4 linked regions of the Arabidopsis thaliana genome follow. The protein of the gene in region 2 purifies or fractionates together with the protein of the main gene of each other region. This does not show direct contact. Each region holds a gene or a part of one and is shown on either strand. Other genes may lie near its edges. The genes, in order: FKBP53, NOP56, FIB1 and GYRA.

The links.
Region 1: the proteins of NOP56 (region 2) and FKBP53 fractionate together in Arabidopsis thaliana (co-fractionation; one large-scale study listed by BioGRID). This does not show direct contact.
Region 3: the proteins of NOP56 (region 2) and FIB1 fractionate together in Arabidopsis thaliana (co-fractionation; one large-scale study listed by BioGRID). This does not show direct contact.
Region 4: the proteins of NOP56 (region 2) and GYRA fractionate together in Arabidopsis thaliana (co-fractionation; one large-scale study listed by BioGRID). This does not show direct contact.

Annotation. Positions count from the first base shown.
Region 1 is NC_003075.7:12,958,837-12,964,344, forward strand, and holds FKBP53 (FK506 BINDING PROTEIN 53), read right to left. Parts: upstream 3,936-5,508; 5' UTR 3,797-3,935; coding exon 3,784-3,796; intron 3,700-3,783; coding exon 3,626-3,699; intron 3,503-3,625; coding exon 3,255-3,502; intron 3,148-3,254; coding exon 3,005-3,147; intron 2,735-3,004; coding exon 2,431-2,734; intron 2,336-2,430; coding exon 2,168-2,335; intron 1,967-2,167; coding exon 1,744-1,966; intron 1,372-1,743; coding exon 1,284-1,371; intron 1,178-1,283; coding exon 1,136-1,177; intron 1,059-1,135; coding exon of another isoform or gene 1,043-1,058; coding exon 994-1,042; intron 903-993; coding exon 821-902; 3' UTR 513-820; downstream 1-512. Other genes in the region: SHB1 (EXS (ERD1/XPR1/SYG1) family protein), read right to left, coding at 4,546-4,648, 4,726-4,862, 4,953-5,384, 5,465-5,508. UniProt on the Arabidopsis thaliana protein: PPIases accelerate the folding of proteins. It catalyzes the cis-trans isomerization of proline imidic peptide bonds in oligopeptides. Histone chaperone possibly involved in H3/H4 deposition to the nucleosome.
Region 2 is NC_003070.9:20,983,766-20,988,542, forward strand, and holds NOP56 (NOP56-like pre RNA processing ribonucleoprotein), read right to left. Parts: upstream 3,188-4,777; 5' UTR 3,129-3,187; coding exon 2,924-3,128; intron 2,674-2,923; coding exon 2,459-2,673; intron 2,367-2,458; coding exon 2,209-2,366; intron 2,127-2,208; coding exon 1,939-2,126; intron 1,843-1,938; coding exon 1,590-1,842; intron 1,507-1,589; coding exon 1,358-1,506; intron 1,269-1,357; coding exon 1,137-1,268; intron 1,048-1,136; coding exon 779-1,047; 3' UTR 638-778; coding exon of another isoform or gene 594-637; 3' UTR 570-593; coding exon of another isoform or gene 536-569; 3' UTR 508-535; downstream 1-507. Other genes in the region: AT1G56100 (Plant invertase/pectin methylesterase inhibitor superfamily protein), read right to left, coding at 1-214; AT1G56105 (uncharacterized protein), read left to right, coding at 1-117, 146-222, 289-344, 536-569, 594-637; AT1G56120 (Leucine-rich repeat transmembrane protein kinase), read right to left, coding at 3,523-3,894, 3,983-4,133, 4,215-4,446, 4,529-4,739.
Region 3 is NC_003076.8:21,292,385-21,297,355, reverse strand, and holds FIB1 (fibrillarin 1), read right to left. Parts: upstream 3,210-4,971; 5' UTR 3,067-3,209; coding exon 3,048-3,066; intron 2,799-3,047; coding exon 2,491-2,798; intron 2,409-2,490; coding exon 2,313-2,408; intron 2,217-2,312; coding exon 2,139-2,216; intron 2,042-2,138; coding exon 1,865-2,041; intron 1,621-1,864; exon of another isoform or gene 1,547-1,620; intron 1,194-1,546; coding exon 1,125-1,193; intron 1,027-1,124; coding exon 847-1,026; 3' UTR 537-846; downstream 1-536. Other genes in the region: AT5G52480 (RNI-like superfamily protein), read left to right, coding at 1-438; EDA41 (FBD, F-box and Leucine Rich Repeat domains containing protein), read left to right, coding at 3,598-3,807, 3,900-4,340, 4,435-4,573, 4,662-4,971. UniProt on the Arabidopsis thaliana protein: S-adenosyl-L-methionine-dependent methyltransferase that has the ability to methylate both RNAs and proteins. Involved in pre-rRNA processing.
Region 4 is NC_003074.8:3,340,355-3,347,895, reverse strand, and holds the start of GYRA (DNA GYRASE A), read left to right. Parts: upstream 1-1,535; 5' UTR 1,536-1,652; coding exon 1,653-2,077; intron 2,078-2,171; coding exon 2,172-2,241; intron 2,242-2,339; coding exon 2,340-2,405; intron 2,406-2,519; coding exon 2,520-2,621; intron 2,622-2,809; coding exon 2,810-2,854; intron 2,855-2,930; coding exon 2,931-3,029; intron 3,030-3,168; coding exon 3,169-3,255; intron 3,256-3,388; coding exon 3,389-3,459; intron 3,460-3,947; coding exon 3,948-4,056; intron 4,057-4,161; coding exon 4,162-4,224; intron 4,225-4,373; coding exon 4,374-4,439; intron 4,440-4,534; coding exon 4,535-4,623; intron 4,624-4,824; coding exon 4,825-4,873; intron 4,874-5,026; coding exon 5,027-5,113; intron 5,114-5,214; coding exon 5,215-5,308; intron 5,309-5,693; coding exon 5,694-5,764; intron 5,765-5,849; coding exon 5,850-5,939; intron 5,940-6,329; coding exon 6,330-6,455; intron 6,456-6,541; coding exon 6,542-6,699; intron 6,700-6,797; and 7 more. Other genes in the region: GalAK (galacturonic acid kinase), read left to right, coding at 1-39, 202-242, 335-363, 458-527, 636-725, 860-1,107. UniProt on the Arabidopsis thaliana protein: A type II topoisomerase that negatively supercoils closed circular double-stranded DNA in an ATP-dependent manner.

The sequences.
Region 1 (5,508 bases), on a different chromosome or scaffold from region 2:
GAACATCACATAAGGTTTTGTAAACAGAGGCATAATTGATAATTACATTTGCAAACTCTAAAGTTCACAATCATAGTCCATCAAATACTTAGGAGCCGAACATCAAAAATGAGAAATTCCAATTCTAAAAACATTAAGATATCAGAAACCAGAGGCCCGCCGTAGAGATTGCCATTGCGACGGAGAATAATGGTGACGTATGGTGGATCATCAATGTTACAAAAATAAAAAAATAAAAACGGGTCAAAAGGTCAGAAATAACAGTAAAAAAGAACTTGCAGAACAAGAAATAGGTCAAAGTCTTTCTGACGGTACAAAAATGACAAATTCGTCACGGTGATGATGGTGACGTAACTGTACCTGAGAGTAGAGAGACCTTGATTAGAGACTAGTGAGAGAGACTTTCCACAAATGAATCATTGAATACTAACTAATGAAGAAGAAACTATAATCACTTTATTTACACCAAAAAAAAGGGGTATTATTTACATTATTCAATTGAACGGATTCACGAGTCGGGGTTGTCGTTGCTATAAAATCTGGCTTAAAGTTGATTGGCCCCTTTTTGGGTTCAAGTCCATCTACTATGTAAACAGCATTTGTATGATTCCAATTTTTGGTTTTTAAGCAAGTGTAAAATAGGCCAACAAAAGCTATCTGGAAGAGGAAATCTGGGAAACAAATGCTATGGTCTTATCACTTGAAACACAAATCCATTTTTCAAAAAGATTCAAGTGTTAAAAAGGAAAGAAACAATCTTTTGCAGCTACAACACCATTCAGAAACCCCTCATCAGAGATTCTATGAATTCAGGGCAGTTTTATTGAACATTAATCAGTTCGACATCAAAAGTCAGCCAAGAATTAGGAGGAATCTGGCCACCAGCACCCTTCACACCATACCTGGGAGCCAAACAATATTATCATCCCATTAAAAAGGTTTAACAAAACATTGCTAATTCAAAATAACATAAATCAAAATGAGTTTACTTACCCCATTGATGGAGGAATTGTAAGCTTCCTTTTGTCACCAACGCGCATGCCTGTGGAATTCAAAAACTTGAGATGAATACAACACGATTCACTTTTTGAACAAAGTTATAAGTAAAAAAACAGTAAGAAATTAAGATATATACCATTAACTCCAACATCCCATCCCTTAATGACTGATCCAATACCTACACGTTACAATAAGAACATAAAGTATCACTTACACCAGCAATACACTGTAATTCTCAACCAATTTCCCAAGCTATTATCTTTGAATCTAGTTATAATACCAACCTAGACGAAACTTAAATGGTGATTTTCCAATGTTGGAATCGAAAATCTTCCCATTCTTCTGAAGTTTTCCAATATAGCGCACAGAAACCTGCACTCAGAGACAATAGAATGAGCTCCAAAAAGATTTGGGAAAACACACAAATACATTGATGCACTCTAATAGGATTTTGGATTCAAACCAAGTTCACAAAGACAATTAGCCAGAGTTAACCACAACTTAAGGGTTTGAGTGTTTGTAGGTTTTACAAGCCATTAGTTTGTTCACTTCCTATTTAATGTATATTCTTTGGTGCTCTTAGGTCTAAGTCTAACAAGGTATTACTTTGCTCACTTTCTATCTAGTGTCAATTCTTTCAACACCCACATTCTTATCACACTACCACCTTGTTGCATAATCTATATGAGATTGCAGTAACCATATGATATTATGTGTGCAATTTATGACTTTAAGTGTGCATACCGTTTTTCCAGGATCAGCTCTCTTGCCGTTGGGTTTTCCCATGCTCAACTCTTCAACAATGAGCCCATTTGGGTATGTCCGTACTTGAGAAGACTTGGAGTCCGCTGGGGTTTGCTTCTCAACAGTACCAGAAATTTCTGCAGCTTCGTCACTTGGTTTCTTCTTTTTCTTATTTTTAGTTTTCTTCTCAGCAGATTTATCTGGGGTCTTGGAGCTTTCACTCCTGCAATAATACCATAAAAAAGCACAGACTTTTGTTAGGAGAAAAAGTTTGAAAGAACCGCTGTATACTCATAAGCGTTTTTTACTTTGTGATCTATGTGAGTAATAATTCAAATACTTACTTACTGATATTTCACAAATGACATAAACACAATCTGTTATCACCAAAAAAGTTCTCAAATCAAGAAATAAGAGTTCTCACATGGCATTGTTTGCAGTTCCATCTTGAGCTTTTGTGTTTGAAGAAATTTGGCTAATATCCTGCTTCTTCAGAACATTTCCCGTCTGAACTTGTCCAGCTTCCTCATTTAAGACATTTTCCCCTTTCTTCTTCTCTTTCTGATTTTTCTTCTTTTTACTCTTGTTTGCACTGGAACAGATTTTAGAAACAACTTCGTATCCCCACGATATATAAAATATGTGAACTCTGTCCTCAGAGTCAATAGAGAGCAAAGAGAGTAGTACCTTTCTTGTCCATCATCTTGCTCAGCAGCCTTGGCCTTCCGTTTCTTGTTACTACCTTGTTCGTCATTATCTACAACCATCTTCTCACCTGACGCATTCTCTACTTCAGATGATTTTCCTTTAGGAATAGGTAAACCGTCTTCGTCTTCATCTTCGCTTTCCAAAACTGGAACATGGGCACCCTCTATGGCAACGATTTGTTTCTTTGCATTCTCACCTTCGCTAGCTTGACTCTTCTTCTTGGTTTGTTTTGCCTTATTATCTTTGGCAGGTTTCTCTTCATCTTCTATCTCCTCAATTATAACTAGCAAAGATATCATTCAGATTAGTTTTAACAGAACAAGGAAAGATCAATCATATAAACTATTAACACAAATGTAGAACAGGATCAGCACCAAGGAGACACACTTGTACAAAAGCTTAAATTTACGGACATACATTTGAAAAGTCTTTTATCAATATCTTTTTGAAACCTTCTAGTTATAAGACAAGAGTGACGAATCAAGCAATCACACTAAGCTAAAATGGAAGTACTAAGATGCAATCTGATAAGGATCTCTGTAAGAAAAAGTACCTCCACTCTTTGGGGCAGCAGCATTCCGATACCTTTCAAGATTGCTATCAAGGAAGTCTTCAAATTCATCCAATTGCTCATCCTCTTCACTATCATATTCACACGAATCGTCTTCCTCAGACTCACCAACATCAATACCATCTCTATAATATAGTCGCAATGAAAACATTAAGATTTCTAAACAGATGGAATAATAGAAAAACAAGAAAGCATTATTTGCTAAAGTAAACTAGTAACAATGAAAGGATACGAATCATCTTCATCATGCTCATAATCATCTTCATCGTCCTGATAATACTCCAAGAATCCAGACAAGTGGATACTTCTGTCACCAGTCACGGTGAATTCCACTGGCTCATCATCATCGTCAAACTCAAGATTCAGAGGGCAACATTCGATTTTGTTTGGCAACAATGAACACAAAGCAATAGGAGCCTTGTCTCCTATTGAACACTGAATCACACTCTTTTCTTTGCTCAAACCCGTACCTAGAGTTGCCTGAATGATGGCAAAACATACATACATCAATAGATATATCAAACATATTCAGATTCCAAAACTAGACTACACAAATATACAATTCATATCCCAAATCAGCTCGAAGGAACAAGAGTATAGTACCTGGGTCACGTGAATCTTTCCTTGTTCATTTTTTGGATTATAAGCTTGAGGCTTCCCAGGTTTCACTTCAAGTCCTGCATATGTTAACAACACAAAATCAGAACCTAGGAATCATGCTCCGGGAAAATCAAAGAAAACACTGAGCAGAGAAAACTAACCCCAGAATCCCATTTTCTCAGCTAGGTTACTCCTTGGAATCGAAGCGGCAACTTTGTTTCTACAGACTAAAACCCTAATCGAAGGTTTTTAGCAGACGAGCTTTATATCGAGATTAAAGCGGTTTCGAGAAATTTCGACAATTTGTGCAACCGCGCTCTCAGTTTGGGCCTTAACAGACTTTGAAATTCAATGAAGCCCCAATGAAGCCCCAATGAAGCCCATATATTGGTCTGTCATAAATCGTAAAGTAAATGGTATTGTCAAGATACTCTTCATATTTGATAACATTTAATTTGTGTTCATTATTTTACTAGAGTTAATTTGAAAAAAAAATCTATAATTTTCTCTCATGTAAACGCAAATTCAGAAATTTTGTTTTAAATAAAACAATATGAGACCTATCTTTCAACAAAACAATACAATATTGAGACCTAAACACACTGTACAATGACGTGAGTTTCTATCTTTCTTGTCAAAATCTGAAGTAAGTGTACAAAGTAATGTCTTTTTGTTGTATGTAACCAAGTTAGTTAAGTGTTTGTATCTCTTGTTACCAAGGAACGAAGAGATTTCCACTTGATTTCTCCATAATTCTACCATCGCTTAGGTCTGACCCTGAGAGTGAGCCAGCCTCGAGTTGGCTCTCTGAAGAATACAGCGGAGAGGCAAAGCTCGATCGTTACAGTTGTATACCGGAACAGCGGTGAAAAGTTTAGTTGTTGTTTAGGTAATTTTGTGAAACCAAGTATTTTCTTGTTAAGCTAATTGTTATGATGATCTCCATCTTCTTCGTAGTTGAACGGTAACGGGACAGTTTTGAACGCCCTGTATCTCCCAACGTTGTTCAAATGCTCATTCTCCAGCCTAATCAACAATTACATTTCATTAGTTTTGTGTAGATTCATGCATGAAAACACCATCTTCTCAGTCTCGGAGCTTACCTAAAGAAGTTCCAGATACCTCTGCGTATGATCTCAAGGCAAGCCATAAGCGCGACCATAGTTTCTCTATGCAAGAAAGAGAATTTCAGATCCAAAACTGTTTGCAACCACACTAACCTCAACAAAACATTCAGGACCTGCCAAGTACATGAAGCAACAATCTTCACCATATATGTATAAAGAAAAAACAAAAACAGAGGTTATTGCTGTTTTCTGTTTGCTCTCACCATTGCAGCGTAGTACACGGTTTTGTGAGGAACAAGAAGCTTGTCTCTCAAGAAACTATTCTTACATCCTCTTTGAAGCAATCCCCAGTCAAGAACAATGTCCCAGTAAGTTCCGTAAAACGTTGCAACTCCTGAGAAAACCCAAGCTGTGATATTCCAGTTGCTTCCTCGGTTTAGAGTATAAGCTGTTCTAAGAGAAGCAGCAACGATGGTCAAAAGGTATTTGATGCCATTGTAGCCATGACTCAGATCTCTGTCTTCCACCATTCTTCGGATGCACTGAAGAAACCGTAACCAGTAAGGTATAACGGCGACGATGAAGTAGAATGTTCTGAATCCAATATTTGATGTGCAGGTGTTTCGTCGTCTATATCTGAAATCTCCAAAACCATAGTAGCATATGTAGAACTCTAGACTCCTCAGTGCTTGAACCTAGCATTGATTGTTTAAATCAGAAATCATCGATCAAAATAAGTATGAAGCTATCTTATCGAGTATAGATTTTCTCGAACCTGGCTTGTTAGTTGATCTCCCAAGAAAAAGTCCGGAAGATGCA
Region 2 (4,777 bases):
TGATGATATCGAGACGAGAGTCGAGACAGTGTATGATGATCTCGGCGATGCCAACACGGTCTGCATGAACGGAGGTTGGGTCGGATTCAAGACATTGCATGCAAATGGTCGGAACTTGTGCATTATGGCATTCCTCTTTCATCAGGTCCTTCTCGGCGCAAATCGGAGAGATCACGAGCAGAGCTAACAGGAGAAACTTGATCATTATCGTCATTATGCGAAGTATATTTCCTATGATTGATTATGTTATATTTCTTTGAGGGGTGTGAATTTCTTATTTGTACTAAGAATATGGGACTGGGAATGTGGTTGGTCACGAGTTTATCTATCCTTCTCAAAAGGAGGTAGCTCTATTGTTTACTTACACAAGTTTTAACATCTATTCAATTTTACCTTTTGTTAATGTTAACTGACCATTCAAACGCGAGCTGCTCTTCTTCTATTACTCCATTTGGGTAAAATAATAAATCATATGGCTCCAAATTCATTTTCACAAACTTGTTAAGCTAGTTTTCCAATTTGGTAGTTAGTTTAGCTATTATTGAAACATTTGCAAAGCACTGGAATTGGTAATTGTATTTTATAAAATGGAGGAGCCTCCTTCACGGTTGCAAACGTCAAAATAGTGAAAACCTAAACAAACTTAAGATATTGCCAAACCTTGAATCGTTTCCAGACCAAAACAAAAATTCTCCGATGTTCACTACGAAAAACAGACGACATTAATTTAGCTCAAAAAAAAAATACAATACAGGGTTTGTTAATGTTGCATCCCTTTCTATTCAGCGCTCTTAGACTTCTTCTTCTTCTTCTTGGTGCTGTGACCATCATCAGTCTCCTCTTCTCCTCCAGCTTTACTCTTCTTTGTCTTCTTCTTCTCTGATTTCTCGTTCTCCTCTGCAGTCTCCATCTTCCTCTTCTCTTTCTTCTTCTTTTTCTCTGACTTGTCCTCCTCCATTGCCACCACCTCTTCTTCTTCTTCACCCTTTGCCTTCTTCTTCTTGCTTTTCTTCACCGAGGCATCAACTGGCTCCTTCCCTTCCTCTTCTAAAGGAGGAACAGATAAAAAAACACTGAGTTTGCCATCATAAAGAGGACTCTGATTACAACCAAAAAAAAACAGCTACAAGAAATACCTTGCTTTAGATTCTCTATCACCTCCTTCATTACATCCACGTTCTTGCGTGGGGCAACACCTTTGTCATAAAATTCTAGCCTTTCCTCAACTTGTTCGCGAAGCTTCTCACCAAAAGCAGTAGTTGCACCATCTGCATAGGACATCAGGGCACATAATTTAACACTTTCACAACAGAATTCATAATCCAAAACTCTTCTTCAAGGAGTTTCAGATTTTTACCAGCAAAACAATCAATCCGGGATGCTATAGAGCACTTGTTTGCAAGATAACGAGCGATACGGCCCTTGTTCTTAGCAGATGCTCGGCCAATGAAGGAAGAATGGAAAATCAATCCATACTTGGGAGTGTTTCCACGTGTTTTAAGTGCCCTGAAATACCACAGCAGTTCATGTCACAAGCAGCACTAAAAGGAAACTGGTGAACATTAAAAATATAGTGCCAGATATTGCACCTGAAAAGAGCCTTCTCGGCTCCAAGAATCTGGAGGGTGGAAGATGGGCATTTAGCAAGGTTAGTCAGACTTCCAGCATGTGAAATCAAACGGGCACCGACCATTTCTCCAATCAAAGCAGCCAAATTAGGGGCAATGTCGCTCATCTTAGTGACAAGATAATCATAGAGCTTCTTCCTGTAGTCAGCAAGGTCCATAACTTTCTGAGCAAAGGTCTGTACGTTGATTAAGTCAAGCGGTGATAAATCCGAGCCTGCCAATAGGGAAGAGAGTAAATGTCTCAGGACATAAGTTAACAGAAACACACATTAACTCAAAGCTACCAAAAAAGTCAGCTCAAAATTTTTACCCATGGATGCTTTTCCAGCTTCGATGACCTCCTTTGCCTTATCTTCATCCCCTAAGACTTCAGTAAGCATGGGGATGTGATCTTCAGTCAACTTTGACTTGTCATCAATCATCTTTGAAACACGGGCGTAAAGATAGTTGTCATTGACTATCTTCACTAGTTCGGGGAAGTGCCACGAATACCATTCCCTGTAATAACATTATAAACAGTTCAGCTACCAATTTTCTCGAGGAAAACACACAATCTGAAAGGGAAAAGCACAAAACAAACCTGACTCTCATGGCAAAGGAATTGATATCCTTATCAAGCGTGTCAAGCATGAAGATAGCTTGAATAACCATGTTATCCACTCGGTTAACATTGAACTTCACCTTGGCTCTGCTGTAGCTGTGAGCTAATCCAAGCTGAGATTTTTCAAGATCACCAGGCTACATAAACAGAAATTTTTTATGAGAACACAAACCATATGAGATAAGCAAACAGACAAAAAGATTTTAAACACATAGAAAGGAGATCACACCTTTAAGTCCTTGATAAACCTATCAAAATGCTGGCGAACACCTCTGAGAAGCTCAAGAACAAACTCATTGCTCTGGCATGGGATTTTAGTAGCTTCAAATATATGTGAACCGAGTTTAGGCTCAGCCAATCCTAAACTGAACTTGGGTTTCTTTCCCTCCTTGACCTTAGGAAGATTCAACTCCAGAAAACTTCTAAGCTCATCAGTCATAACACCTACCAATATCACATTAAAACCAATTCCAAAAGCATCAATGACAAAACCAAAACAATGAAACAAAAACAGAACACAAAAACAAGAATCAACCATAAATTAAAGCTCTTTCTACAATATATCCAGGAAATTTGAACTATAAGGTTTTAAATCGAAGTGTCTACTCTAGCTCTAAATACAAGAACAAGCTACTCAACACAACACATGAATATACAGAACAAAGAATAAGAAGAGAGTAATGAAGAGTCTGACCTTCAGAGACGGCGTTGACTTGGTTGAGAGCATCGAGAGCAGACTCAAAGGGATGAAACGCTGTGAGCTGAACAACACGGCCAAAGCGACTGAGGTCGGAGACAGAAGTCCGAACCGCCTCAGTGTTCTGTCCGATCTCATCTAGTCCGTGAACCTCGAAGAGACCATAGCCGGAAGAAGACTCGTAGATAACATACATCGCCATTTTTTGAGGAGAAGAAACTAAAACCCTAAAGACCTACTGAGCGAGAAGAAATATACAACGAACGAAACTAGGGTTTCAGGGGTTTAATAAGCGCATCTGTTGATGGCGCTGCTCTTGAAAAATTCAATGGGCCAGGCCCATTTAACGGTGTGTTAGTTGTACTAGCTTATAAAATGCCCGGCCCATCACAACAGGTTAACTTTCTTTTTTTTTTTTTTTTTTTTTTTTTTTGGTCATCCTTGCAAGATATCAAAAGTTTGTTACAAAAATTGAAAAATTGTCAACTAAAATATTATTATTGAATGAAAGTGAAATCTGTTTCTCCACATCCTTATATAGAAGAAAATTGTCAACTTCCATATACAAGCATATCAAATTATAGAGGGGACAATCTTCATCTTCCCTCCTTGATCTTGAATCCAACCATTGGCTTCGATTCGCCGTCTCTAAGTGGCATCTCCGGGCCAGGCGCTATAAAGCTCGTCGAGAAGCTAGTGTCTTTCGTTTGAAAGTTGCTGAATGAGGAGCTTGTGGTGTCATCAAATGTACAGTCGGTTAGGTAGCCTGGCTTAGAGGTGGCATCATTGACCTCAGCATCTCCTGACAACATGGCTACTACTCGTGACATTGGTGGTCTCAACGCATAAGATGACTGAGTGCAAAGCAGAGCAATGCCAATCATGCGTTTCACTTCTTCCATGTTGTATTCACTTAGCTCATCATCTATTAGTTCAACGTCACGGTTTTTCTCGTGTAGATTCCATGCCTGTATACAAGAAATACAAAAGGATTATCGGCTTTTGTCATTTATCACACCATCTTCAACTTCGCCTATATGACAAATATAGACGTACCCATTCAAGAAGATATTTTTTTCCCTCTTCCAGGTTCTCATCAGAGTTTTTCCTTCCACTCACTAGCTCAAGAGCCACAACACCAAAGGCATACACATCTGTTTTCTCTGTTAGATGTCCACGCATGGCATACTCTGGCGCAAGATACCCACTGCATTGATACAACTAACATGAGCTATAAAGCCATAATTGTGTTGCAAACAAAATGTCAGGGTCTATGGATTTTGCTTACATCGTCCCTGCCACTCTGGTACTAATATGGGTTTTCTTGTCATCATATAGTTTTGCAAGCCCAAAATCAGAAACTTTTGGGACCAGTTCAGAGTCCAGTAAAATGTTGCTGGCCTTCACATCTCTGTGTATTATGCGAACACTTGCTTCCTCGTGGAGATAAACTAGACCTCTGGCTACTCCCAGACATATCTCATAACGGGTTGACCAATCAAGATGCAAACTCTTATCCCCTGTAACATCCAACCCAATGGCATAATGATTACTTTAGCTTGGCAGAAGCAGAGATAGGTAAGTCATGTTTCTGTTCATTACCAAATAATGCCTGATCGAGACTTCCATTAGGGAGATACTCATATACGAGCAAACGATGATCTCCTTCAAAGCAGCACCCGTAAAGTTTTACTAGGTTGCGATGTAGAACTGAAGAAATTGCAATAATTTCTGCAACAAATTGTCCCTTCCCTTGCCGTGATCCAATTGACAACTGCTTCACCGCCACCTCTCTTCCATCATTGAGGTTTCCCTGTTGAACGTGTTATTCAAAACAAAACGTATTAAAAG
Region 3 (4,971 bases), on a different chromosome or scaffold from region 2:
GCAGGGCTGTCTTGTCCAAATCTGAAGACATTGATGCTAAACCGCCTCTTTTACTTAAGTTCGGATGATGATGATCATGATGCCATAGCAATTGCAGAAAGCATGCCTAAACTACGCCATCTCCAGCTTTGTGGGAACAAACTAACCAAAACAGGCTTAAACGCCATTCTTGACGGTTGTCCTCACCTGGAACACCTCGATTTACGCCAATGTATCAACCTTGTCGGGAATCTAGAGAAGCGTTGTTTTGAGAAAATTAAAGATTTGAGACGCCACAATGATTCTACCTCTGCTGATTACCCGTTTTCTTTTGAAACTTACTATTTTCATTGGTCACGCCAATTGGCAATACTTAAAAATGCGCTACCGATGGAAGAAGGCGCCTATAACTTTGATCCAATAGTGGAAGAAGCCGAATATTACTTGAAACTGTATTGAGACTTATGTCAATAACACTTAGTCGGTTTGTTTGTGTTTAAAATTTTATTAACCAAAAAAAAATGAGTTCCTTTCAGAGCTAAGTGATACTTTTACGCCTTTTCTTGAGCATAATCATGTTCAAAACAAACTACTTCAACAATCAATTCAGCATGCAGAAACAAGTAGGATTAAAATGGACAGTAGTTCTTATAGCCAAGCAAAAACAAGCATAGAAAAGACTGATGGAGATACAATCATTGGACGAAAATGTTGCATCAATATATATTAGTTCTAAAACGAGGATAAAATTTTCCAAATGAGACATAAAAGCATTATCCATCTCTAGCTTAATACAACAAGCAAGGAGATAAAAACAAAACCCAGTAAATAAGTCTTAATACACAGGCACTACTGTCCACAGTTCCTCTATGAGGCTGGGGTCTTTTGTTTCTTCGGCATGCGGTAACCACCAACAACACAGGCATGGTCACGCTCAAACGGCTCGAGAGTCACCTGTTCTGCTGGCTTAAACTGCTCTTGTTGCAGCTTCTTCACCTCGCTCTGGAAGACTGCTTCTGCTGCAACTGTAGAGTCGATACAGTTGGCCTGAACAGATGAGACATGTTTATTTAGCGACGGAAATACAAATTGAATAATAACAGAGGAGAACATTGTTGAATTTGATTAAGGATAAGAGCACTGACCTTGATTGAGATAACAAAGTGTCCACCAGTTTTGAGGAAAAATGAGGCATTCAGGGCCAAGATTCTTGCCTTCAAGAGTTAGGCAAATAGATGGATTCAATTAAATAAAACATAAACAGAGAACCAAAATGAGAATAAAGAGAGACATTAACATAAACATAGAAACATTTATGGAATCATTGCAGATTTCTTGGAGCAATCTCTGCTAGCTCAGCAATATTGCTACAACAATTGAGTCTCCAAGTTTAGTAATAAAGTAAAACTTCTAAATGACTTGAAAATGCAATTGTTGAAAACCAGAAGAAACCGAAAAGACTTCTTCCAAATCGATAAGATATACCAAATGAAGACAAATAAAAACTTTGAGATTAAAACAGATTTGCATGTTCAAAGTAAAAAATTTTAGTAAAAAGATACAAAGTAGCATCAGAAGCTTGGAGTTTGCAACACCCATAAATGTTCTGAAGGGGAATCCAAGTAAAATCATCATCTGCCGATTTCATTGTACTGATTTTTTTAAAAGCAAAAGATGCAATGCAATAAAAAAAAACTTTGAAGATATAACTGTAAAATAAAAAGGCTTCAAACATTTCATAGTAAATGAAATGTCATCATATGCCGATTTCAATGAACTGATATTTTAAAAGCAAAAGATGCAATGCAATATGACGTAACCTTTGTGAATAAAACTGTAGAAAGGGTAACTTCAAACTTTCATAGTAAGAAATATAGAACCAAACCTGATCTGGCTGAGCAACATCAGAGAATATGACATCAACCATGCCCACGAGCATTCTGTACTTAGCCGGATGTCTAGCATCTTCAATGATTGGAATAACGTTAGTTCTCTTCTTGGCCATGTTCACCAAATCTCTACCACTTCTATGAGAAAACTCAACAGCATAAACACATCCCTCCTACAAATCATAAAGCAATAGAACAAAGATAAGTCTCAAACATAGGATAGAAATGGACCTACGGATAACTAAAATAATAATTTAGTGAAAGACTTACAGGGCCAACGAGGTCAGAAACATGAGAGACAGTGGTCCCAGAAGCAGCACCCAAGTAAAGAACTTTGGCACCAGGTTTCTACAAAAGTTTTAACAAAGAACCAATTCAAGCACATGTCTTTCAATACAAAAAAAGAAAACAGAGTCAATGTGGTATGTGTATAGATGGACTTACGATCCAAATGTTGTCGACACCACCAAGAATTGCAGCAGCTAACTTAGATCTAAACGGATTCCAAACTCTGTATTCAACCTTAGTTCCATCTTCATTCTGCAAAAGTGAAGTAGCTATAATATAAGAACAAAAACAAACTCAATTTAATTATAAAGAAAACAATCCTCAAACTTCATACCTGAACAGAGATTCTCTTCTCATTGTAAACAGCTTCACCAGGAACCAAATTCTTAGTGACAAGAGCATCTTCTTTACCCTTAGCAATAAACACTCCCGCATGTCTGTGAGGCTCAACAATCACTTTGCTTCCTCCTTTCATTCCTCCACGAGGTGGTCCTCCACGACCACGAGGCGCACCACGTCCTCTGCCGCGAGGCCCACTACGGCCTCTGTCACCACTACGGCCTCCTCCAAAGCTTCTTCCACCTCCAAAACCTCTTCCACCACCATCTCTTCCACCTCTGAATCCTCCACCACCACGTCCTCCTGATTATAACAATACCAACATACAGAAAATTAACTAAACGGAAGAACAGAGTGTTATTAAAAATCTCTACTTTTATCTTTGAACTTTATTGAAACAGTGAAGATACAAAAGGCTCATGAATTAAAACCCTAACTACCAATTCAAACTACAGAAACCGTAATGATACGAATTCAGATTTGATACGGACAGGGTTATACTCTAGAGGCAGACAGAACAAGAAAGACATAAACTTTAACTAAGGTTCTTACCTGTAACTGGGGGTCTCATATTTGCTTGTCTAAAAGTGAAGAACGAAAGACGAGAACCGAAAAAAAACGAGGGCAAAGGAGAGAGATGTGCGGTGGTGGCTGATTTTAGAGTCTCTGTGAGTTGGTTTATATATTAAGATTTTAGGGCTTTTAGGGTTTATGCTTTGGTAACATTTCTTGTATTTTATAAATAGGCCCTTCTATTATATATATCTTAACTACATTAGTCTACTACATTGGTAACGATGGGTCCAAACTCCAAAGTATGGAGTTGGGTTTGATCCGGATTGGGTCAAGATAATAATGGGCCGATTTTATTGGCCCAAAGTGGGTTTGTTTATGTCTCACGGAAAAGATAAGTTAGGGTTTTATTTTTGTGAGACAAGAAGAGTTAGTTATTCACTTATTCTCAATTTCTCATAGAGAAATTACGAATATATCTAAGGTTCTCGATCATCTAAAGTTTTTAGGGTTCGACTTGCTCCTCCTCGTCTCTGCTTACCTATATTTGAAATCTTTATCACAAACTCAGCTAGCTATTACATCACTAATGGCCGAACGTTGTCAAAGAATTGATGAAGAGGTTGTTGCTTCTAGAGACGAGATCAGTTCGTTGCCCGACGATTTGCTTATCCAGATTTTGTTGCTTGTACCGATCAAAGATGCAGTTGGGACAATGATATTGTCAAAACGATGGCGTTATGTCTGGACGTTGTTGCCTAAACTCGAGTACAGTGATCCTGGTGATGAATGCGAAAGCGTGTGGAAGTTTCTTGAAAAGTTATTGGAACTTCACAAGGCACCTTTTCTAGAAACTTTGTGCATCCAACTCGGTAAAAATTTTCTATTGAGGTAGATGTTGGGAAATTAGTTGCAAATGCAGTTGATCGCTTTGTGCGCAAGCTAGAGTTAGAGCTCCACTGGACGGCAGAGCCTACCAGCTTGCCTAAGAGTCTTTACACATGCAAAACACTTGTGGAATTGACTCTTTCGGACAAGATTATAGTGGATGTTCCTTCTTCGGTTTGCCTCCCGTCACTCAACATATTACGCCTTTTTTATGTGGTGTTCAAAGATGAAAATTCTCTAGAGAGGCTTATATCAAGTTGCTCAGTTCTTGCCCGATCGAAAGTGGGCCTCGCCATCAGTGATAACCGGGACTACCGTTTCGCGAAGGTGCATAAGCTTCGCCTTGAAAAGCCACATATCGACGTTGTATGTCATACTGATGACAAGTTTCTCAAAGCTATTTCCTTGGTCACGTATCTTGTGTTACCTTTGGAAGATCCAATGGTATCTATCCTTTTTATTATTATTGTTTTTTTTCTTCTTGGCTGTTAGGTTTGATCACATTGATTTATATTGGCTTTTGATTTAGTCATTGAAGGCTCTGGATTTTCGTGGCTTTACCTTCACTCGACTTGGAAAATTAGTGATATGTCCACATGGCCATCTCTGGTTGGATATAATTCCACTAATTCTCAACAACTCTCCTAAACTAAGATTTCTTGCTATCACTTCTGTAAGTAACAAGTAACAACGCAATCTCCTTGTTGTATAAACTGATTCTTTGATTCCACCTCATAGATTTTTATGTACTTGCATCCAGGTAAGTGGATATCGACCCGGAAATCTCCCATTGTCATGGTACCAACCAAGGTACTGTTCCCAGATGCTTGTCGGCTCATTTAGATGAGGAGTTTGTGTGGCATGGATATAGAGGAAACGAAGAAGAGACACAGCTCATAAGATACATTTTTGCTAATGCAAAGTGTTTAAAGAAAGTGACAGTCACATCTATATGGGAACATTTTCAATCTTCAATCTTGAAGAGAGAGATATCAACCTTCCATCTTGAAGAGAGAGAGGTGATAGAAACGGTCTTAAAGTCTATGCCTAGAGTTTCAACAACGTCTACGCTTGT
Region 4 (7,541 bases), on a different chromosome or scaffold from region 2:
AGTTTCTGAGTGTCAAGAGGCAGCAAAAGTTCTTTTGACGTATGTGCAAATCTGTTTGATTCATATTTATCTACATTTTCGCTTATTTAGATTTAAATTTCAGTGGAAATGCTGCAAAGTTTATTTCTCTATTGCTTGTGATACTCATTTTTCTGCATCACAAGATTCACACCCTTCTCTTGATTTACTTTTTCTTTTCAGTGCATCTGGGAACAGTGAGCTGGAACCTACGTTGTGCAATGGTAAAAAAACTTTAAGTGTGGACTTTAACTTATTCGTTGCATGCTGATTAGTTTTTCTTTGTTGCCATGTCTCTAACTGTCCCACTGAATAGTTGAGCATGCGGTCTATGAAGCTCACAAGGTAAGAAAATAAGATTCTTAAGCTTTTGGTAAAACAGGTTCCACCTATATCAGGCCTATGTAAATATGTAATACAATAATACTTGTTCGTGCAGCATGAGCTGAAACCGGTTTTAGCTAAAAGAGCAGAGCATTATTTCTCGGAGAACATGCGAGTTATCAAAGGCAAATGTTCTTGAATTCTTGTAGATGTCTCTTTATGTGCATGAATGATTCATTAAGCTCTTTATGATGCTTAACGGACTTTTATGAATGTTTGTTCTTAAATTTCAGGACGGGAAGCCTGGGCTTCAGGGAATCTTGAAGAATTTGGAAAGCTAATTTCAGCATCCGGCTTGAGTTCCATTGAGAATTACGAATGCGGTACATTACACTCTCTTTTCTTCTCTCCCAAATGCAACATATCCTATAGTGAATACAGACCACTAGTATGCTTACAGACATTATTCTCTCTTAGATTCATTATTTTGGTTTTAAATTCTGTGAGTTTTGTGAAGGTGCGGAGCCACTGATCCAGCTATACAAGATTCTTCTGAAGGCTCCTGGTGTATATGGAGCTAGATTCAGCGGTGCAGGTTTCAGGGGATGTTGTCTAGCCTTTGTAGATGCAGAAAAAGCTGAGGCAGCTGCTTCATATGTGAAGGATGAATATGAAAAGGCCCAACCCGAGTTTGCTAACAATCTAAATGGAGGAAAACCTGTTCTCATCTGTGAAGCAGGTGACGCTGCTCGTGTTCTTCTCTGATCAATCCTGGAGTTTTTGGTTTCTTCCCCACTTAAACTCGATTTTTTTGTCCCTTATATCTCTCACGCTTATTGATTCTTTGCTTGTTTATCTCTTTTTGATCCTGTCTGAGAAATTCTCTGGTCTCTTTGGTCGGAGTTTCATCATTGCTTGATACATTTTTTTTGCTACAAATACATAATGTAAATCATTCTCTACCGTTTTCGAGTCGATAGAAGAATCGCAAACTTCAAAAATGTGACTAACATTTCTCCATAAATTTGTTAAATTTTCAACAATTGGTGAATTTAGTTCTGTAATTGATCTAACAAAGACACTATACAAGTATGAAATTAGAAATTGAAATCGAAAGTTAGTTATTATAATCTTGTTTGTATAAAATAGTGTATATCTCAAATAGAGATACAGATTAGTTTTTTGTTTGGACACAAAGACCCCCGCCAAAGTATTGAAATTCGCGCCTGAGAAATTCTCCGGTGTGGCTCTCTAGGGTTTTAGCACTTTAATCCATTTGTACTTGTAAAAATCCCTAAAACCCTCTGGGCATGACTCCAGTATTATGCCATTCCACTGCTTCAATCCCTAACCCTAACTCTCTCATGTCTCTCTCCTCCACTCTCCGTCTCTCTTCCTCCCTTCTTCGCCGCTCCTTCTTCCGATTCCCCCTCACCGACCCATTATGCCGTCTCCGCCGCACTGAACCCTCCGCCACGCGTTTCTTCTCCTCCCGTACTCCTCGGTCCGGCAAATTCGTTGTCGGTGCTGGTAAGCGCGGAGATGAGCAGGTCAAGGAAGAGTCCGGAGCTAACAATGGCGGTTTGGTTGTTTCTGGGGACGAATCTCGTATTGTGCCTTTTGAGCTACATAAGGAAGCTACTGAGTCGTATATGTCGTATGCGCTCTCTGTTTTGCTTGGACGTGCTTTGCCTGATGTTAGAGACGGACTAAAACCAGTACATCGGAGAATTCTGTTGAGTGACTTTCGTTCGGCTCAAAGCTACTGATATTTTTAAGCTTAGTCAGTGGTATTGTTCCTTCTAATGTTCGATTATTTTGTCTTCCAGCTTTGCAATGCATGAGTTGGGGATGTCATCTAAAAAACCATACAAGAAATGTGCAAGAGTTGTTGGAGAGGTATATTATTGATTTTTGGAAAGTGTTTTCTCAGTCGATTTCTCTAAATATCTTATTCTGAAGAACGATTTGTGCTGTTGAATTCTTTGGGTTTTCAGGTTCTTGGTAAATTCCATCCGCATGGAGATACTGCTGTTTATGATTCTCTTGTTAGGATGGCTCAGGTAAATATCTGAATTCATGGAATGTAGTCCAGTCCTCAAATAATGTTTCAGGCACGATTCGATTCTTCCCAAACTTCTGACTTTTTTGTTTTAATACCTTTGTTTTTTTGGCAGAGTTTCTCCTTGAGATGTCCACTTATCCAAGGCCATGGAAATTTTGGCTCAATAGATGCAGATCCTCCTGCTGCTATGCGTTACACTGAATGCAGACTCGATGTGAGTGCCTTTTACCTTACTTTCCCTTCTAGTTGAAATGGTTTTCCCTGCAATTCACTTTTTCTAGTTGTTTCACTTGTCTTTGCTATCTATAGTGTATCTCTCATCTCTACTTTTTCTCTTGTCTTGAGATGAACATGTATTTTTGTCAGTGTTTTCAGCTGATTGTACTTATTTTTTTTCTGCAGCCACTGGCAGAGGCAGTACTATTGTCTGATCTGGATCAAGATACGGTAACCTCACTATTAATTTGTTGCCAAGTTTACCGATACTCAACTAGATGGTCCTTAACCTCTTTTGTTTTGGCAGGTGGATTTTGTGGCCAATTTTGATAACTCACAAAAAGAACCAGCAGTGTTGCCTGCTCGTCTTCCTGCTTTGTTGTTGAATGGAGCTTCTGGGATTGCGGTAAAATAATCAAACAAATCTTAAATCTGAACTCCTTAATAGATTTTGTTCGAGATTTCTTCAGTTAATCTTGTGCAGATTTTCCCTGCTGTATGAGATTGAATATGCAGTTGAATCTTGATCATTTCACATTGTTTAGGTTGGCATGGCAACAAATATTCCCCCTCATAATCTTGGGGAGTTGGTAGACGTGCTTTGCGCTTTAATCCATAATCCAGAAGCAACGGTATCACTCATCTCCCCTTTGTTTTTCTGTGATTTATCAATTTGTGGGTCTTTTGTTTTACATGAAAAATCCTCTGTTTTATAAGTAGACAACTCATAAGATTTTGTTTCCACTTTCTTCTTCGTCTGGGCAGCTGCAAGAACTGCTGGAATACATGCCTGCACCGGATTTTCCAACTGGAGGAATAATAATGGGAAACCTTGGGTAACTCTTTGCTTTCCAATTTCTCCCCAAAGGGATCTTATACATTAATGACTTTTGTTTGCCCACCTCGTTTGCTAATTTTTTGAGAGTAGGCTATCTATAGGATCAAATAGAAAGACTCACTTCTAAAGTGTGAAACTTTTTTTTTATGGAAATAGAAAAGCATTTTGTTTTGTTTTGATCTATGATTCTAACAGATTACAGAAGCTGTACCTATATCTTAAAAGGAACCTAGAAAATGAGTGAAGAGGATGGTCCAGTTAATAGTTTTCCTTTATTTGTCTGTCATATGCAGTTTTTGAATCATCATGTTTTTTTCTGATGGTGTGAGTGATTTTTTAATATTCTGAAAGCTTATATGTTGTGTAGTACATTTACTCTCGAGTTTGTTGAATACCTTTATTAAAAAAATAGTTTGCATTCATATGCCATTTCCTTTTACAATGTTGGATTCTTATAATTTTCTAATGTGTGTTTGCGCTTTCAAGGGTTTTGGATGCTTACCGAACTGGCCGAGGGCGAGTTGTAGTTAGAGGAAAAGCTGAAGTTGAATTGTTGGATCCAAAGACAAAGCGGAATGCAGTTATTATCACAGAGGTGATCAATTTAGTTTTTTAGATTAATGTTCAGATCTCCATGGATGAGGGTTTCAAAAATGTTTATTAGCAGTAGAGTAATGCCTTTAGTGTGACTTTATTGCAGATTCCTTACCAGACAAACAAAGCTACACTTGTCCAGAAGATTGCCGAACTTGTTGAAAATAAGGTACAACTAAACTTGCGACATCTAATGTTTATTTTGCTTCACTTAGCAATATGTACTTATTTTACTCAGAGGTGTGTTACATTTCTAGTATGTCCTTATATGCTTGCAAAGTTTCTTCTTTATTCATTGATGTTGGTGTTTGTTTTCAGACGCTAGAGGGCATAAGTGACATACGTGACGAGAGTGATCGTAATGGGATGCGTGTGGTTATTGAGGTATTACACTGTTTCCTCTGCACTTAGATGTATTAGTCTGCTTTAAAATTTCATATTGGAAGGTAATTAAGATAATTTCCAATACTTCTCTATAGCTCAAAAGAGGAGGGGATCCTGCACTTGTGCTTAATAATCTTTACCGGCATACTGCCCTTCAATCAAGCTTCAGCTGCAACATGGTGGGGTGAGTTGCATCAACCGATAACTTCTTATTTCCTGTACTTTTTTGAAGAGTGGGCATATAAAAGAACTTGGGCATTTTCCAGGATGACTAGTTGAAAATTCTCTAATGAGTATGTTATGCTTGTAAATATATTAAGGATCATGTATTCACATATGCGTTTTTCTTTATCGTAACTGGATTATGGTATTCTGTGTTTTACAGTATCTGCGATGGAGAACCCAAGCTAATGGGATTAAAAGAACTACTTCAGGTGACCACTTGTCTATGTAAATCATTTATCTACGTAGCCCACAAGGAGTAATAGAAAAGTGAAGATCAGAGATAGGATATTTACTTCTGTGCTACTGTAATCACATTTTAAAGTAAATTTGTTGATTACTTTCTGTTTCTTGCTTGTGTGTAGGCATTTATAGATTTCAGGTGTTCTGTCGTCGAAAGGCGTGCAAGATTCAAGCTTTCACATGCACAACAACGAAAGCATATTATTGAGGTGCGACTAGAAATATTTAACTTTCTTAAATCTGCTCGTGAAGACCATGATGTAATGATGTAAAGCATTTTTTCTAATATCTTCACTGTATATATGCTTAGGGTATTGTGGTTGGGCTTGACAATGTGGACGAAGTAATCGAACTCATCACGAAGGCCTCAAGTCATTCCTCTGCTACTGCTGCTTTACAAAGTGGTGAGCTATATTTTACTTTGACAATATAATCAATGTAACAATCTTGAACTGCACATTATAGGTTGATGTATAAACAGAATTCGGAAAAGTGAGCGAGAATTAGGAGTCAAAAAGTAGACTAGAGCCAATTTTTCTTAGGTGGACTGATAGATGTAGTCTAGGATGTACACTATTAAAAGAATACATCTTGTGGTGAACTCTTCCATATTACATTTGAACATTATATATTTCTTGTCTTTTTATCTGGAACTGCTGGAGTCTCATTCGTTGTAAGATTTGATCTTAATTGCAAAGATTTCTTAGGGATTTATGCTTTGTAAGTCTCTATTGTAAGGGACGATACCATATATTAAAATTAACACTTGTCAAACATTTACTTATGTAGAATATGGTCTTTCTGAGAAACAAGCTGAGGCTATACTGGAGATAACTCTTCGAAGGCTAACTGCTCTTGAGGTGCTTTCTTATTCTCGCTAAGTTCAATTTATGAAACTTGTAGGCTTGACAATGTTCTAACTAGATTCTCCCTTCATAAATGCAGCGGAAAAAGTTTACTGATGAAAGTAGTTCACTAACAGAGCAAATTACAAAGTTGGAGCAGCTATTATCAACCCGAACAAACATCCTAAAGGTGACACACTCACTTTTTAGTTATCTGTTCTTTTGGCTATTGATATTAGAAATTTAGAACACCTAGATGCTAGTAGAATGATAGATGCATCAATATATGTACTCCAAATTTGTAAGCTTGACTGTTTGAGTCCACTGAGGTTCAAAATCTAGTCCATGCATTATGATGTGGTATAAGGATTCAAATGCTTCTTCCATTTCTTGTTTGGTACTTATTTTTATATCTGTAAAGCTGCTTACTATATGTTGCTGTTCTGGGCCAATGTTAGGAAGATAACTGATACATGATGATTTTCTTGTAGACCAAAATTGAACTATTTGCTTCGTTTACTTCATTGTATATTACTTACTACTTTATTCTCTTCGTTGTTTTTCTTGTATTTTTCTTTAGTTAATCGAACAAGAAGCAATAGAGCTGAAGGACAGATTCTCAAGTCCCAGGCGTTCAATGTTGGAGGATTCTGACAGTGGTGATCTAGAAGATATAGATGTTATTCCAAATGAAGAGATGCTGATGGTATGTTGCATACTTAAACCTAGAAAGTTTCTCAACGTTGAAATTTTTGTTGTTTGTTTTGTAACTTTTGATATGGATGACTATAGGCAGTCAGCGAAAAGGGCTATGTGAAGAGAATGAAGGCCGATACATTCAATCTTCAGCATCGTGGAACAATTGGCAAATCTGTTGGGAAACTAAGAGTTGATGATGCAATGTCTGACTTTCTTGTTTGTCATGCACATGACCATGTCCTCTTTTTCAGGTATGTATACCTCAAAATTTCCTTTGTGTTTGCTACGCACATGGATATTAATTTTCTGCCTTGTTGTAATTCATTGCTTATACTTGTTGTACATTCAGTGACCGGGGTATAGTTTACTCAACCCGTGCATATAAAATTCCAGAATGCTCTCGCAATGCAGCTGGTACACCTTTGGTTCAGGTAATTACATATCTGTGTATCTATGTTTTCCTTCTGCTATGTCAAAAATTATTCAATTTTATGAAAGGCTAATGTTTTGCTGTGTTCATGTGACTTGTGGAAGCAGATATTATCCATGTCGGAAGGTGAAAGAGTAACCTCCATTGTTCCTGTTAGCGAGTTTGCTGAAGATCGCTACCTCCTGATGCTTACAGTGAATGGCTGCATCAAGAAAGTATCTTTGAAATTATTTTCAGGAATACGCTCAACTGGAATCATAGCAATTCAGTTGGTTTGTCCCCTTTTTCTTCTTAGTCATATAGGAAGTCTTCTTAACAAGGTTACTCTAACAAAATTATTTGTCTTCAGAATTCTGGTGATGAACTGAAATGGGTTCGTTGTTGCTCAAGCGACGATCTTGTAGCCATGGCATCCCAAAATGGAATGGTCGCCTTGAGTACATGTGATGGTGTAAGTTGTGGCTCTCATTTTTTCTAAATGATTCATCTTTCATGTAAACCTTTTAATACTTGAGCAAACTCTGATGGCTTTTGTTTGTTTAGGTTCGCACACTGAGCAGAAATACAAAGGGAGTGACTGCCATGAGACTCAAGAATGAGGATAAGATAGCGAGCATGGACATCATACCTGCATCTCTGCGGAAAGATATGGAAGAGAAGTCG